Linked DNA regions of Alligator mississippiensis. The protein of the gene in region 1 binds, or shares a complex with, the protein of each later gene. Links are inferred from orthologs where the notes say so. Each region holds a gene or a part of one and is shown on either strand. Other genes may lie near its edges.

Evidence for each region.
Region 2: the proteins of GLI1 (region 1) and SUFU are in contact, whole or in part, in a crystal structure (PDB 4KMD), measured with the Homo sapiens proteins. The link is inferred for Alligator mississippiensis from reciprocal best matches to the Homo sapiens genes GLI1 and SUFU. Residues at the interface, in NP_005260.1 of Homo sapiens: Gly119, Ser120, Tyr121, Gly122, His123, Leu124, Ser125, Ile126, Gly127; in NP_057253.2 of Homo sapiens: Leu144, Tyr147, Asn153, Thr154, Phe155, Gly158, Asp159, His160, Val161, Ser162, Trp163, His164, Gln212, Asn265, Leu266, Ser267, Gly268, Val269, Ser270, Ala271, Glu376, Leu380, Lys398.

The regions. Positions count from the first base shown.
Region 1 is NC_081838.1:7,325,377-7,333,055, reverse strand, and holds the start of GLI1 (zinc finger protein GLI1), read right to left. Parts: upstream 3,147-7,679; 5' UTR 2,430-3,146; intron 1-2,429. UniProt on the Homo sapiens protein: Acts as a transcriptional activator. Binds to the DNA consensus sequence 5'-GACCACCCA-3'. Regulates the transcription of specific genes during normal development.
Region 2 is NC_081829.1:99,404,420-99,412,595, reverse strand, and holds the start of SUFU (suppressor of fused homolog), read left to right. Parts: upstream 1-5,110; 5' UTR 5,111-5,162; coding exon 5,163-5,296; intron 5,297-8,176. Other genes in the region: ACTR1A (alpha-centractin), read right to left, coding at 2,791-2,838. UniProt on the Homo sapiens protein: Negative regulator in the hedgehog/smoothened signaling pathway. Down-regulates GLI1-mediated transactivation of target genes. Down-regulates GLI2-mediated transactivation of target genes. Part of a corepressor complex that acts on DNA-bound GLI1.

The DNA.
Region 1 (7,679 bases):
CCAAGCCCAGCATCACCGGGGGGGGGGGCGCTGCCCCACCCAGTGTCCCGTCCCCACAACCTGCCCCATCTGCCCTGCCAGGGCAGTCCATGGGAGTGGGTGCTGAACCCAGGAGTCTGGGCTTCCAGCCTCCCACTCCTCTGCGGGCCTTGAAATCACCCTCAAGCCCCCACAAAGAGTCCCCCCAGCCAGGACCACGAGCCCCCCAGATTCCCCCAAGCCGCCTCGGGACCCAAAGCAGCAAGAGCCACCTCCCTGGGGCAGCCCAATTAGCAGGGCTGAGTGGAGCCAATTAGCTAATTAATTAAAGCGGGCGGTGCCCGGTTCTGGGGCAGGGCCCCCCCCTGCCTGGCGCCAGGCAGCTCTGGGGCTCCCGAGCAGCTGGTTAGGATGACGAGGGGAACGATCCTCCGTGGTGCTGGACCCAGGGCTCCCAGCTCAGTTGTGGGAGGCAAGGGGAAGCCCCCCCAGCATTGGCAAGGCCTAGAGTCCAAGGCCAATGCCAGGGTGAGGGGCACCCAGCCGGGACCCAGGGGATTGGACTCAGCGCCACAGCCTTCCCGACAAGCCCCCAGCCTCCAGGCTGGGGTCCAGCATGGAGTGGGGGGGCAGGCCCCGATCCTGGGCGGGGTCTGGTGATGCCCGGGTGCGGCCGTGGCTCGTGGGGCCGGGCAGGGCGGGACGATCCCTGCCTGCGTCATGGGGCCTGGGAAGCGCCTGGGGCCTATGAGATCCCCAGCCTCACCCCAATGGGACGCAGTGCCAGGCGGGGGGCAGGGGGGCCAGAGAAGCCAGGCAGTGGGCACCACGGGGGGAGGGTTAGGGTTAGGGTTAGGTGTCCTGGCAGTGTCCTGGGCCAGGCGGAGGGATGGAGAGAGCAGGCCTGACCCCAGGCATCACTGAACCCGTCAGCTCCCAGGACAGATGCTCTGCTGGTCCCAGTTCCAGCAGCATCTCCGGGCGCGGGGCAGGGTCCCCTTGCAGCCCCCCCAGCACCGAACCCCCCGCCCAGGCCCGGTCCCCCAGTAACATCCCAGCAGCTCCCCCCCTCCCCAGGCAGCAGGGCGGGCACGGACCGGCAGACTCAGCTCCTGGCGGGGAAGTGCAGGGGTCTGTGCGCACATCTACATGTGTGTGTGCGTGTACATACAGATGTGTGTGTGTGTGTGTGTGTGTGTGTGTGTGTGTGTGTGTATGTGTAGGGATCTGTGTACACATCTACATGTGTGCGCACGCGCATGCAGTGTGTGCACATAGAGATGTGCATGCCTGACTGCAGGAATGTGTGCCCACACATGTGTGCGCTTGCAGGGGTCTGTATATACATACACATAGGTGTATCTGCACATACAGATGTGTGTGTGCAGGGGTCTGTGTACGTGTCTACATGCATGTGCATGCGTGCGTGCGTGCAGTGTGTACACAGAGCTGTGAGGGCCTGCATGCAGAGATGTGTGCCCACACACATGCACATGTGTGCAGGGGTCTGCACGCACATACATATGCATGTGCACACACATCCACATGCATGTGTCTGCAAGCAGGGCCGTGTGCACACAAATACCTGTGTGTGCATGTGCAGGGGTGGGCATGTAAGGATGTGTGCACACATACACATGCATGTGTGCGCGTGTGTGCAGGGGGTGCATGCCCATACACCCGTGCACATCTGCAGAGATGTGTGTACACACAGACACATGTGTGCCTGTGTGCAGGGGCCATGTGCCCACACACACAGGCATGTGAGCTTGTACATGAGCGTGTGTGCACATCGCATGTATGTGAGCAGTCCCGTGTGTGCGCACGTGTGTGTGCAGGGGTGTGGGGGGTCCTTCCAAGCCGCAGCAAACACACGGGGCCCTCCCAGGTGGCTGCACACAGGGTCAGTGCCCCCCCTGCCATGGGGCTCCCAGTGTCGTGGCTCCAGGGAGCTGATGACTTTTCCAGGCCGAGGGGGGAGGGTTCCTGGGCTCTTCCCAGAGAGGGGGGTCTCCCCTTTCGCCCCCCCTGGGGCAGGAGAGCCGGGCAGGGGGAGCCTCCAGCTCCCCAAGAGGGCTCGTGGCCCCCGCGAAGCAAGTGTCACTCTCCAAACCCTCGGCATCACCCCCCTCTTTCCCCCCTCGGCCCACCCAGGAGCCTGGAGCCGAGACGCGGCCTCCGGGCCAGCTCCGGCGAGGACTTTCCAAACTCTGGCCCCCCCTCGCCCCTGCACGCCTGTCACCACAGTGCCCACAGACCAGGCATCCCCCAGCCGCCGTCCCGCCAGGCACCCGGGCACAGCCATGGGGACCCTCGCTCCTCTCCTGCTTCCTGGGGACAGGGTCTTGCGGCCCCCACTGAAACAGAAGACCCGGGGGGAGGGACAGGACCCCTATGCACCCCCTGAAACTTTCCCCTGCAAAGACGCAGCAGCCAAGCCAAGCTCGTACCTCCAAGCGCCGGGGCCGGTCTGAGCCCTTCCTCGACCCTGGGGGTAACTCCACTCTTCGGGGGCCACGAGGGTCTCCCCCAGCGCTGAACATCCAGGGAAAAGCCTTGCAAAGAGACGGGGGGCAGGGGGGGAGCACCCCCCCCGAGAGCCACCGGTCGCTGTGGCCTCCCGGCTCCCAAACCCAAATCTCCTCCAAACCCAAATCTTCGGACGAAGATGATGAATCAGATGAAGATTTTTTTTTTTCCTCTCCCCCCCCTGGAAATCCAGCAGGAGAAAGTCCTGGGGGGGGGACGAAGAGGGAGCCGGGAACTCCGGGCGCCTCGTCGCCACGCCGCGGCCCCGGTTATAAATATTCCTTCCCCGCGGCCGCCCCGGACCACCTCGGAGAAGGAAGTTTTGTTTTTCTTTCAAGAGAGAGAGAGAGAAAAAAAAACCCTTTCCCGATGCTTTTCCACCCGGGAGAGCGGCTCCGGGCCCTGCTCTGGCGCTTTGAAGCCGGGGCTGGGGCAGGAGGGGGGACAAAACTTCGCCCGCTCTTTCTGGGCTCTGCTCAAGCCGGTATGGGGGTGGGTTGGGGGGGGGGGGGCTTCGTCGTCCACCACCCCCCCTCCGCCCCTCTCTTTTTCCCCTTGCCCCCCTTGCCGCTTGCTCAGCTGCGAGGTCTCTGGGGGCCGGGGGGAAGCGGGCGAAGGGAGCCCCTGAAATTGGAGGCACGCACCATGCCGGCCGCAGTGCTGGGAAAACCTGGGCTGGATCTCCACGCCCACGCCCACGCCTGTGGGGCACACGCGTGTGCATGCCCGCCCAGCCCCGGGAAGCAACGCCTGGCCTGGATGGACCGGCTGCAGGGTGCTTTGGGCTGGGGCTGGGGCTGGGCAGGGAATGAACCCCTGCCCCACTCTGGAGGTGCCAGGATCGGGGCCTCCCAATGCAGGAGGGGTTTGGGGGATAGGGAGCGAGGGACACAGGTGCCCCCCCGCCATGTCCTAGGCTTGGGGGCCGCACATGCATGCAACATGCCCGCACACGCGGAGCACGGGCCATCCTGCGGGCCATGGCCCCGTGCCAGGCTGGGACCCGGCAGCTTGGGGCTTACCTGGCCAGGAGGCAACTTCACCGGCTGCCGTGACCTCACGGGGCACGGCAGTGATGTCAGGCCTTGCTGCAATGAGGTCATACGGCCATCAATACCCTCCCGACCCCCGTAACACTGAGGGTCCTGCAGCCGCCCCGCCCCGGGGGCTCACCCTCTGCACGTCTGCCCCCCAACAGTGAGAGCTGAGATACCCCTGTTGTCATGGAGACAGGTTTCGGATGGGGGGGGTGGCATTTGTGGCGTGGGGACATGGGTAGGACAGCCAGGAGGGGGGACCCAGCATCCAGGCTCCCAGCACCCCGCCCCCGGCTCTAACCACTTAACTCCACTGCAGACCCCCAAACCCGCGCTCCCAAGGGCAGGGACTGAACCCAGGTGTCCCGTCTTAGCCCCGCCCCTTCGCTAACCACTCAACCCCCCTCCCCCGCTGAGCACTGAACCCAGGTGTCCCGGCTCCCAGCCCCTCTCTCCAGTCTGACCAGTAGCCCCACCTCTGCTCTCCCCAGTCCCCCTGCCCCTGCCCCCACTCTCAACCCCTGGCTCATGACATCACAACACAGGCTGTGACATGACAGAGGGGCCAGCAGCCAATGAGGGGATTCCTCAAAGTTCTGCCCCCCCATGACGCAGTCGCAGGGGGCAAGGCGGGCACTGAGTGCGGAGACTGCGCTCCTGGGTGCCCCCCACCCCTGGGCCCTGCAAGGAGAGGGGGCAGGGCCGGGATTCCCGGGGTCTCTCCCCAGCTCCAGGTGCGCAGGGCACCCCCAGGGCATCCCCTGAGGGCTCCCACTTGCCCCCTTGGTACCCAGCTGCCCCGGTGGGGGATGCCCCAGGCCTGTGGCTGGCTCTGCCCAGGCCAACCTGTCAGCTTCTGGCATGACATCACTGCCCTGCATGACATCACAGCATGACATCACCCAGGGGGCGGTCCAGACGCAATGCCTGCTGCCCTCTGCTGGACTCAGCGGGCACCACAGCTGCCTGCCCAGTCCCTCCCCCCCTTGTCTGTCCACCCAGGATGACTGGGTTCGATCCCCGAGCCCAGAGCTTCTGGGCTTAGTCCCTGCTCCGTGCCTCAGTTTCCTCCTCTGGGCCCCCACAGCCTGGGCATCATGGGGGGGGCACCCTGGGCTGGCCATGCTAGGCCCCTGACCCCTGACCCTGCTGGTCCCCAGGCCTGAGGAGGGGGCTTCACACAGGGGATCCCCCTCGCCCCGGGAAGCTTCTTTAAGCATCATTAATTGCAGCTGCCCCAATTAATGGGGGTCACCTCTGCCTTCCCAGGACTCGTCTCGCACAGGCGCCCGGATGTGTAGGTCCCGTCGGGGCTGGGGCAATGCCAGGGCTGTGCAGACCCCCACTTCAGCTGGCACCGAGAGGCTGTAATGGGGGGACCTGGGCTGCCCTCGACCCCCCTGGCAGTGCCCTGATGATCACCCCCCCAGCTGTTCTGTCCAGCTCCCCCCACGTCCTTCAGCCGTGGCATAGCATTCACGTGGCTCCCCCCACCCCCGGGGAGTTTTCCAGTGAGCCGGCAGCCCCAGGATGGGGGGGGAGAGGGGGCTGGGCAGGGATGCCCATGGCCCCCCTGGGCGCCAGCCTGGGGGGCTGTGGAGCGTGGCAGGAGCCCAAGTCCAGCGCCACGTCGCGGGCACGGGGGGTAAAGGGTAAGCAAACAGCGGGGCTGTGGCAACATGGGCTGGGAATTGCGACTCCGGGCCCCCCCCATGCGGGACGGTTCGTTCCCACCCCCCAAACAGGCCCTTTGCCCCCCTGCCCCCAGGCCGTTTCTCCTCAGCCCTGGGGGACCTGACACTGCCACAAGAGGCCAAGGGGAAACTGAGGCAGGGAGCAGTCACCCACCTGGGGTGGCCTCCGGGGAGCCTGGGCTGACCTGGGACCACCCCCAAAAGGGGAACCACATGTCCCAGCCCCTGCCATGCACACCCCCACTCCATGCCTGGGCGGGGGACCCAGGCATCCAGGCCAGTCCTGCAACCCCCCCCTATCCCCTTCCAGTACAGAGGTGGCCACGGGACCCAGGTGTCCTGGGAACTTTGCAATGGGGTAAAGCTCAGCTGGGCGCTGCCCGGTTACTCTGTGTTTATTTTCACCCTCAAGGCTGCCCCCCCCGTGCCCCCCCATGCCCCGCTGGACAGTTGCCATGGTGACTGAATGCAGGGGAAAGGGCCCCCGGGGCCGTGCTGCTATTTCGGGGCCTGTGGCCTTTGCTTGCCGCGGCCACAGATGACATCACGCCCTGCTGGCACGAGGCGCCAGGGCGAAGGGCACGTGCTGGGGGGGCACGGGCTGGGCAGCAGCTGCACACCAGGGACCCAGTGCCCCCAGCCATGCTGGTGCCCCTCACTCCCGACCTGCAGCCCCCTGCCCCTGCAATCCAGGGCTCCCTTTGGCAACCTAGTTTTGGGGGTGGCATTAGGGGACATCTCCAGAAAAACCCTGGTCTGGGGGAGAGCAGGGAAGGTTTGGGGGGGGCACATGGACCTGGCCTGGCCTGATCTCCAAACTTCTTAACTGGATCACGCTGGGCTGGGGCTTTCGCCTGCAGCCTCATCACCTCCTGACACCCTCCTGGATGTCTTGGTTCTGCAGCCAGCCCTGCTCAGTGCCTCAGTTTCCCCTCCTGGCATGCACCTGTCCAGCCAGGGGGGGCTCCACAGGGCAGGGATCCCCATGCCCAGCCCTGCAGTGTCCCTTGGGGCTGCTGGAGCCCCCCACATAGGTGGGGCTGGGGAGGGCTGGGTCTGTGCCCCCCGCAGCCCCTGCCTCACAGGATCGGGCCCAGGCAGCAACTGCGGGCATGTGTTGTAACTGTCCTAAGCAGCTTAGCCCGGTTTTGGCCTGAGCTGGGGCCGGGTGGCCAGGACCCCCACCCTGGGGACCAAGACCCTCAACCCCCCACTCCCCTGGTCAAACTCTGCACCCAAGTGGGCTGGGGCAGGACACCGTGAGTGGGGGGGACTGGACAGACTGGATAAGGGAGGGATGAACGGATGGACGGATACTGCCCCCCCCGCCCCCCTCCTACCCCTAATCCTGAGCTCCTGCACTAAGAAAGCCCAAGCAGCTCAGGGGGAGATTAATGTCTTAGTGCCCCCCCACCCCCAGGGTTTGGGGTTAGTGTGTCATCATGTCACTGAGTCACTGTGCCACACACTGCCACCCAGCCCCCTGCCTGGCATCGCTAGGGGGCAGCAGGACAGGGGGCTTTGGGTCCGGAGCGAGGGGCACTGGTGGGGCTGGGGGCTGCAGGTCAGGAGTGAGGGGGACCAGCAGGGCTGGGGGATAGGGGCTGCGGGCCGGGTGTGAAGGGAATTTTCACTCTGCCCGAGCAGGTGCATGGTGCGGGTCCCGCTGGGCTGTTCCCAGAAGGGGTGGGAGGGGTAGGAGCGGGCAGGAGCTGCAGTGTGGTCCCTGCATGCCGGCAGGGGCTGATGAAAGCCGCCCTTTGCCCCCCACGACCGGGCTGGGGCCGTGAGAGTGGCCAGGCCTCGGCCCCAGATAACGCTTTGAGTTGGTGCTTGCACAACAGACCCCCAACGGCGCCAGGGCAGAGCAGGAGGGACCAGAGCCCCACACCAGGCACCCCAGGGACCCTGAGCAGAGGGCTAGAGGCCTTGGGCCAGGCTGGCAGGGGGCTGCAGGTTGGGAGTGAGGGGTACCAGCAGGGCTGGGGGCTGCAGGTCGAGAGTAGGGTGCACCAGGGGGACTGGGGGCTGCAGGTCAGGAATGAGGGGCACCGGTGCAGGGCATCAGCCCATCTCACTGCAGCGGACCCGATCCTGTTTACGTAAACATATGCACGCACAGACCCGAGGCCTCGTTAGACGCTTCCACATCTTTATTAGCTCCATGTAATAAAATAAATTAACCCTGCCCTGTCCCCCCCACCCCCAACACCAGGAGACCAAATGAAAGGTTGGGCCAGGCCTGTGCCCAGTGCTGCCCTGGCCCCTGTGGCACAGTAAAGCCCCCTTTTGACCAGCGATGCCACAGCAGTAACGTTCCTGGGCTGCAGGGACAGCACCAGCCAGGCCACAGCTGGGTTTCCGCAACCCCTGCCCACTCCCCTGCTGGCCCCCAACCCAGCTCTGGCCCCACTAGTCCCGGAAACTGATGCCCTCTAGT
Region 2 (8,176 bases), on another chromosome or scaffold:
GGTGGGGACAACCACAGAGGTCAGTGAATTTGCACCAACTTAGCCCAGTGGGTCTGACCCGCATCCTCGGTTTGGCTTTATGTTCTCCATGGCCCAACCCATCAACTTCAGCCAGGGCTCCCACCGGATGCCCGTTTTGCCAGGAAGATGCTGCACCCAATAGGTAAAACTCATTTTGGAAAGACTGGGTGCTCCTTGCTGAAGACCTGAGGCTGACAGCACAGCTTGCTAACAGAGAACGCATCAGCAAGAGATGTTAGCAGCATTGCTCGCTACTTCCTGGCAGTGCTCGGATACTAGAATCAGACTGGAAGCAAAGCCGCTCTGTACCCCCTGCTTTATTTTCCTCCCTTTGTAAAGCTGGGTTAACGCCCACCGTCGTAAAGCGCTTTGTAATGGAGAAAAGGCACCGAGGAGGAGTGCAGAGCAGCAGTCCATCCTCTGCACTGCTTCCACGTTCTCCCTCGCCTAGCTCATGGACAGCGCTGAAACTGCAACGTCACGCCAGGCTCCGAGCTGGGAGCCATGCCAGGAAAGGACGCTGGTCCCACAACGTAACCGGAGCAAAGATTTCTTTCATTTGCAGGGGATAAAAATTCCCCACGTAACGTGCCCAGGATAGAGCAGAATCGGACCTGGATAGCTGCTAATGTGTCCCTTCATCCTTTGCCCCTCACCGTGGCATCGCACTGCCTGCACCACGCTGACTGACGACACGTCCTCTGGGGCCTTTCACCCTTGAACTAGCAATGGTTTTACCCCGGTGGGGAAAAGCTTCGCTATCCTCTTTTTACTGAGGACAGTTCAAAGCACAGAGAGGACAAGCAACTTGCTCAAACTCATCACAGTGCATAAAAGAGTGAGGAAAAAAGGAACCAATCTGTTAAATCTGGATTTGCTTTCAAAGACTGTGGTGTGTAGCACTGGGAACCCTGCTCTGATTACTGGACGGCATCGCTGCCCTGATCTCCGAGAGAAACACCAAGCGGAGGAGCAAACGCCAACGCTGCATCTCCGGCAGGACCCGCAGCAGGTTTTCTGAGACGTGCAAAACAAGGAGCGAGGCCGGGAGGTATGTGAGAAACGCGGTCTGCCTTGAGGACGGCCGGGCGAGCCATCCCACGTGCTGCTTGCCACTCCTGCAACCCTTTGCCCAAGGCGAGGCAGAAAGATGAGAGCACGGGCACGGCCCAATCTGGGACAGCAAGATGCGCTCGGGGCGTTGGCACGGGAGAGCCGAAGGGAGGAGACGGAGAGCGTGACTCACTGGGCTCAACCTGCTGCCCTTCCACCCCCTCCTGCTCTGGCCCGTCCCTGAATAGCGCCGTTTGTTGGGAGGCCTCGGCATCAGGGCTCGCCCAGGCCCCGGGGGACGGGCCCCCGGAGGCCACCGCCGCCCTGCCCACATGATGCTGACACGGCACCAAGGAGGGGATCAAAGAGAAGCCTCCTGTGCCGGGACCAGGCCCTGTCAGCGGGGATGGAGCAGTGCATTCTGGGAGCAGTCAATCCCAGCAGCTGCTCCTCCCACTCACTTGGAGATAGAGCTCCTCGTGGGAGCAGCCACCCCAGAGCACAACACAGAGCAGTGCATGCTGGGAGCAGCCACCCCAGTGAGAGCACAACACAGAGCAGTGCATGCTGGGAGCAGCCACCCCAGTGAGAGCACAACAGAGCAGTGCATGCTGGGAGCAGCCACCCCAGTGAGAGCACAACAGAGCAGTGCATGCTGGGAGCAGCCACCCCAGTGAGAGCACAGAGCAGTGCATGCTGGGAGGGGCCCCCAGGCCAGCACAACAGAGCAGTGCATGCTGGGAGCAGCCACCCCAGAGCACAACACAGAGCGGTGCATGCTGGGAGCAGCCACCCCAGTGAGAGCACAACAGAGCAGTGCATGCTGGGAGCAGCCACCCCAGAGCAAAACACAGAGCAGCGCATGCTGGGAGTGTCTCCCCCCCCCAGGACAGCACAACAGAGAAATGCATGCTGGGAGCTGCCACCCCGGAGCACAACACAGAGCAGTGCATGCTGGGAGTGTCTCCCCCCCCCCCAGGACAGCACAACAGAGAAGTGCATGCTGGGAGCTGCCACCCCACAACACAGAGCAGTGCATGCTGGGAGGGCACAAGGAGCAGTGAATGCTGGGAGGGGCCACCCCAGTGAAAGCACAACAGAGCACTGCATGCTGGGAGTGTCCCCCCCAAGACCAGACAACAGAGCAGTGCATGCTGGGAGGGGCCACCTCAAGGACAGCACAAGGAGCAGTGCATGAGGGGCCACACCAGAGAACACGGAGCAATGCATGCTGGGAGGGCTCAAGCAGCAGTGCATGCTGGGAGGGGCCCCACGGCCCAGCGCCCATTGTCCCAAGGCAGCCAACGGGCGGGGCAGCTCACCCCGAAGCCTGGACAATGACTGACAGCCCTCACGACCAATTAGCGCAGGGGCTCTCCCCGGGGGGGCGGGACTCCCCGCCTCAAACAGGGGAGAAGGGCGCTGAGGGCGACTGACAGACGGGACAGCCAATCGGAGGCCATCAAAACACACCCCACCCCGAAGCCGAGGACCCGTTTCGCCAGCATGTTCAGTTGCGCCCTCAGGCGGAGATTGGCAAGCGCGGGAGCCAATCAGGAAGCAGAACGAGCGGCCCGTGGGCGCCAAGCTCGGTTGACGCGTCTCTGTGGCCGGCGCCGGGGGGGGGGCGGGGCGGGGACCGCGATGACAAAGGGCGGCGATGCCCGCGCTCCCCCCCCGCCCCGCCCCGCAGGGGCCGGCGGGCCCCGCACTCACGTTGTCGATCACGACGGGCTGGTTCGCGATCACGTCGTAGGACTCCATGGCCAGCACCCGCCGCACACACCAGCCGGGGAGCCACAGCCCGGGCCGCGGGGCGCATGCGCGAGGGACGCGGCAGCGCGCGAAGCAGCCTGGGAGCTGTCTTCTTGAGGTAGGCGCGGGTTATGCTGGGAAATGTAGTCTTAGGGATCGCAGAGCATGCTGGGAGCCGTCTTCATGAGGCGGAGGGCGTGGAGCATGCTGGGAAATGTAGTCGGGGCGCGGGTCATGCTGGGAGCTGTCTTCGGGTAGGGAGGCGGGGCGTGCTGGGTAATGTAGTTCTTGAGGGAATTGCGGGGCATGCTGGGAGCTCTTCATAGGCAGAGTGCGCGGGGCATGCTGGGAAATGTCGTTCTCTGTGCATGTGGAGCTGTGAGCATGCCGGGAGTTGTAGTCCGGGGGGCGGTGCATCTTGGGACAGGTAGTCCCTTGAAGGAGGCTCTTGGCCACAGCAGGCCTCGGGCGGCTTCAGAAGAGGGTGGGTGACAATGCTCTGCCAGGCTGCGAACTAGGCGCCTCGTGCCCAGGAGCAGCGAGGGGCAGAAGAAAGGTGGCCCAGCCCGATGGGCACGACGTCGAGCCTCTTAAAAGGCAGAGCAGGTCATTGACAGCCGCGCAACCAAGAGTCAGCAAGGGAGCCGCAAGGACTATAAGGAGCCCCGAGGCCAATGGCATCCCTCGGCGCTGCCTGACTAGAAACGCCGCTGCCGGGGCCAGGCCTTTGGTTTTAAACTTGATGGGTCCTCAGGTGACTGAAGAGCCCGATTCCAGACACGCGTGGTCTTTGGGTTGGTCTCTTCCTTCCACCGCCGCCGCCGCCGCCGCACCGTCGTCCTGCCTCAACATCGAGTCGTTGGGCCTCGAAGTGGCGCGCGCCTTGGCACCCTGGAAAGGACCTCACGAGCCCCCCGGGGCGCTGCTCACCCCGATTGCGACTCACTGGAATGGAGAGATGATAAAATACGCTGTCTCCTTCCCTGCTCCAACCACACGCTGTTTGATGACTGCTGCCCAGCAGCGTTTAGGCTGAACGAAGCACCCTGGGCTTTTTTACAACCCAACAACACGTGCGCGGAGTATTTTAGCACCCGTTCATTCAGACATTGAGCCTCACCTTTAAATTGAATCCTGGGCAGATACTCTGAATATTGACCTCAGCTAATTTTATTGATTTTTATATCCTTCTCACTCGTTACGATCCATCGTTAGCGGGCCGAACAGCACGGGAGGTGTCATGTTAGCCCAGATAAATCACCAGAGAGACGTATGTGTGCCTTAAACCAACCCAAGTATTTGCTAAGGGATTCTGTTTCTAATATTTACCTTCTCCGGTTACCGCAGTCGACTTTTCTCAGGTGGGGAAACCGTTATTGGTATCACCGTACTAGGACAGGTGAAACATTGCGTATTGTTTGAGCCAGTACTTCATTCAAGTATAAATTGCTCGCCTCTTAGCAACTCTTATTCGTTTGTTTGCCCACCTTTCAGTCTCTGGCTGCAGGTGAACTCCCCGAAACCTATTTTGTGTACATTGACGTTTGGGCAAATATTCTTCACCTGCGCACATGGAAAACCCAGGGAGCAGGAACACCTTGCAGCTCAATTTGCTGCTTTAGCTATAATCCCACGTCCTGATCTTGGCAAGATTTATGGAGGCATTCGCAGCGTGCAAACTTTTACAGGTGCACGAGACTTTGCAGGATTAGAGACGTGGCTACAATTTCTAGCACGGTCTGGCCCTTCCCTGGAAGAAAGAAAGACAGAAAGAAAGGAGAGACGCAGTGCGGTTGTTGTCGCAATTGAGCCGTACACCCCGCTGTACAGAGCAACGACAGGAAATTCCCCAAAACTGGAAAACGTCGCATTTCTGCCGTCCTGCCTGCCAAAGTCTTACAGGCGTAGCAGTGCCCATGGACAACGGCTGGTTACGTGGACCCTTATCCTACACAAAACGCACGTGCGCGATTCGTTCTAGGAGCCGGAGTCAAAGGGGCCATTTAGGGGGCTAAATCCCGGCGGCTGTAAGAGGTCGAGGCTGTCACGCGCAGCATGAACCTCGCGCGTGTGCATGTGCACGTGCACGAGGCTGAGCCCCCCCTAGGCTCCAGGTTCATGGGTGGATAGGGCCGGGTGCAGCTGCCGGCGGCGGCCGCCAGGGGGCGCGCGAGCCTCGGGCGGCGGCAGGCGGCGGGGGCGGGGCCGGCGGGGGGAGGCCCCGCCCCATCCCCTCCAGGCGATTGGTGGAGCCGCGCGCTCGTCAGCAGGCCCCGCCCCACCCCGGCCGGAGCCGCCGCCGCCACCGGGCGCAGGTCGGGCCGGGCCGGGCCATGGAGGGCGCGCGGCCGCCGGCCGCCTTCCCCGCGCTCTTCCCGCCGGGCCTGCACGGCATCTACGGAGAGTGCCGCCGCCTCTACCCCGAGCAGCCCAACCCGCTGCAGGTCACCGCCATCCTCAAGTACTGGTGAGCGCGCGGGCCCGGGCCAGGGGGGCACGGGGCGGGGCATCCCGCGTGACGTCACGGGGGGGCGGGGCCCCGCGGGGGTGACGTCACGGCGAGGGGTCCTCATGGGGAGCTATACCCCAGTGCAGCTCTCACACTGGTGGAGCGCGCCCGGGACGTGACATCAGCTCGGCCGAGGAGATCTCGGCACGAGGGCTCGGGTGGAAAGACGGCGTGTCCGAACGGGTCTCGGGAAGACCACCGGGACCCCTAATCCGTATTTATTAGGGCGCGCCGATTCTGCGTTTCAAAGGGAGTCTCGCTTCCACCTGGCCGTGCAGGGCAGCGTGGCTTTCTGTGCGCGGTGCGGCGCGGCGCGGCGTGACCCGCCGACGTGGACGTTTGCAAAGGGGAAGATTTAGCTCCGGAGACTGGCTCTGTGCAACAGGTGCATCTCTCCCCGCTTGCACGTCTCTCGGGGCAGATCGGGAGCCTTTGGACACCTCCGCGCTGTCCGTGTGAGAGGGCGGCTGTGTTTTCTCCAGCATTTAGGTGTTTATTAAGAAGAGTGGCTAAATACACCGGAAGAGGGGTAAAGTTGCAAGGGGTAGAGCCCTATGGATGCACTCCTTCCTTTACGGTGCATTACGTGATACTATACGGTCCCTACGGGCACGTCTGCTGTCTCTGCAGAGCCCCAGAGCATCGTTAGCAGCTCCTGTTGCCCGCTCCCTCCTGCTTTGCTCTTGTCAGATCCCAAAAACAAGGCCTGGCAGCTGCCTTTAAGTGACCTCGAGCTCGTGGCGCTTAGCAAGGCCAAAGCGGGGGCTCGGGGCCCTTCGGAGGCAGCGTTGCCTCGTGGGCGGGTTTGGCACGCGAGTGGGCAAGGTGAAGCTGGTGGTGGTGCTCCCGTATGAACAGCTCGTGGCCGTGACGTGTGAAGAGATGAGGCCGAGCTGTCTTTCCATCAGCCCCCGGGCAGTCTCCGTGTTTTGCTGCATCTCGTGCTTTCAAGGCACTATAATGCAACGACCCGTTCTCTTGTGTTTCCAATGATATGCTAATAAATGAATCGTATTACTTCCGCTAATCGTTTTATGGCCCCTGGCTGGGCAGGTGTCTTTCTCCCTGGTATCAGACTTCCTAGGGTTTCCGTCAGTCATCAGAGAATTGCCTTTTGCAAATGCAAATCCAACTTTTTCCTCTGGCCGGTCTCATCAGCCCTTTGACGAGGGGCTGTTACATGCTGGTGCAGTTCTGGCTTTTCCAAAGGAAATCCCAAACGTTTCCATTCTTCTGAACCCGTTGTTCAAAGCGAGCGGGGGTGCTATATCTACATAAGTTGCAGCGCAGAGATGCGCGCAGCTACAAGATATGTAATTCAGTTCACTTACTTGCAGCTAGCGTGCGGACAATTGAAAACAGCAATTTAAAGGTTTGTGGGACAAGCGGATGACTCGGTGGACTGCGTAGAACAGAGAATTAACCAAGATGACTTAAGACAACTCCCTGCCTTGAAAAGGTTACGGTCAAAGGGCTGGCCTCCACTTCAGAGTTGTGGGTTGAGTTGATTTGCATTCAAATGCCTTGCGTCAAGCAAAATGTAGTAATGCTGATCTGGCCTCTCACTGCACATTATCAAACCCACTTTGGAAGCAGCCCATTCAGATGAAGGATGGGTTTTTTTTAACCTATTGCAAAGTACTTTTTGGTGCATCTGCATTTAACACTATTTTTGTGCATCTATGAGGATCCCATGCTGCTTTGGCTACCTGGGACACGTCTGCGTGCCCTCTGGGTTCATCTTGATCAGCTGTTCCCCTCCGCTGAAATGGCTCTGTGCACCCAGGTGCTGTTTTTTAGCACTTGCAGTTCATGGGAAGTTCACGTACTCTTCATTCCTTGTATTGAGATCCTGACCTGTTGTTGATCTCTCGGGAGAAGAGCCTTATTTTGCTCATGTGTTGAGCAAATGCTGAGCCAAGGGGCACAACAGAGTTTTCAGTGTCTCCGTAAGGAAGGATCTCTGGCTGGTCTGTAGGCATGCAATGAGCTGTGTGGCTGCACGGCCCGCTCTTACTACAAGGAGCTTGTCATTATCTTCCACCACCGAACTAGAGCTTGTTGTGAACCCCCGATGGATTCTCCACTGACGGTAGCGACTCTTCTGCCTAATGGGTGTTGGGTCTCGTGGTCACAGAAGTCCTGAGCAGCCTCCGATATAAAGCAGAGATGGAGGACAAACCAGGACCACAGATGGAGGTTGGTCCCTGTAAGTATTGAATTTTGTGTCATTGCTGTCATACTGTCTAACTCTTCTCCACCTTGGGGTCTTCTAACACGCGTCCCCAGTGCTCGTGCAAAGGATTTGGCTGGCGACTTTGCAAAATTCATAAAGATATTAAAACACAAACACCGCATAATTTAGGTTCCCACCCACATCCCCCATCATGTCTTTGTTTAACTTTCCTCCTCTGCTTCATTAGCTAAGCCCACCCCTCCACTCCAAAATGATAGCAGTCAGGAAAAATTACACTTTTTGAAGTGGTCTCCTTCGTTGTAGATGACTTTTTTTGTTTTCTTTCTTTTAGTGTAGCATCAGCAGCTTGAGGAAGAAGAGCAGAAGGACTCACGTGATGGAGAGACAGATTGCTTTGCTGAAGTGTGGTGTCTTCAAAGTGCGCCCAGTGCTGTTACTACTCAATAAAACGCTTTTAAAGCGAGCAGTTCCTGTTGATGTATTATTGTATACATTATAAAAAAATGAATTGGGGGCTTGGCCCCTCCTTTCAGTTGTGAAGTTGTACTATCTTTATATCCAATAGGGCTCAATACCTTAATAGAAAGAAGCATATCAATTGGGAAATCATAAACTGAATGTAAAGAGCATTAAAGTAGGCA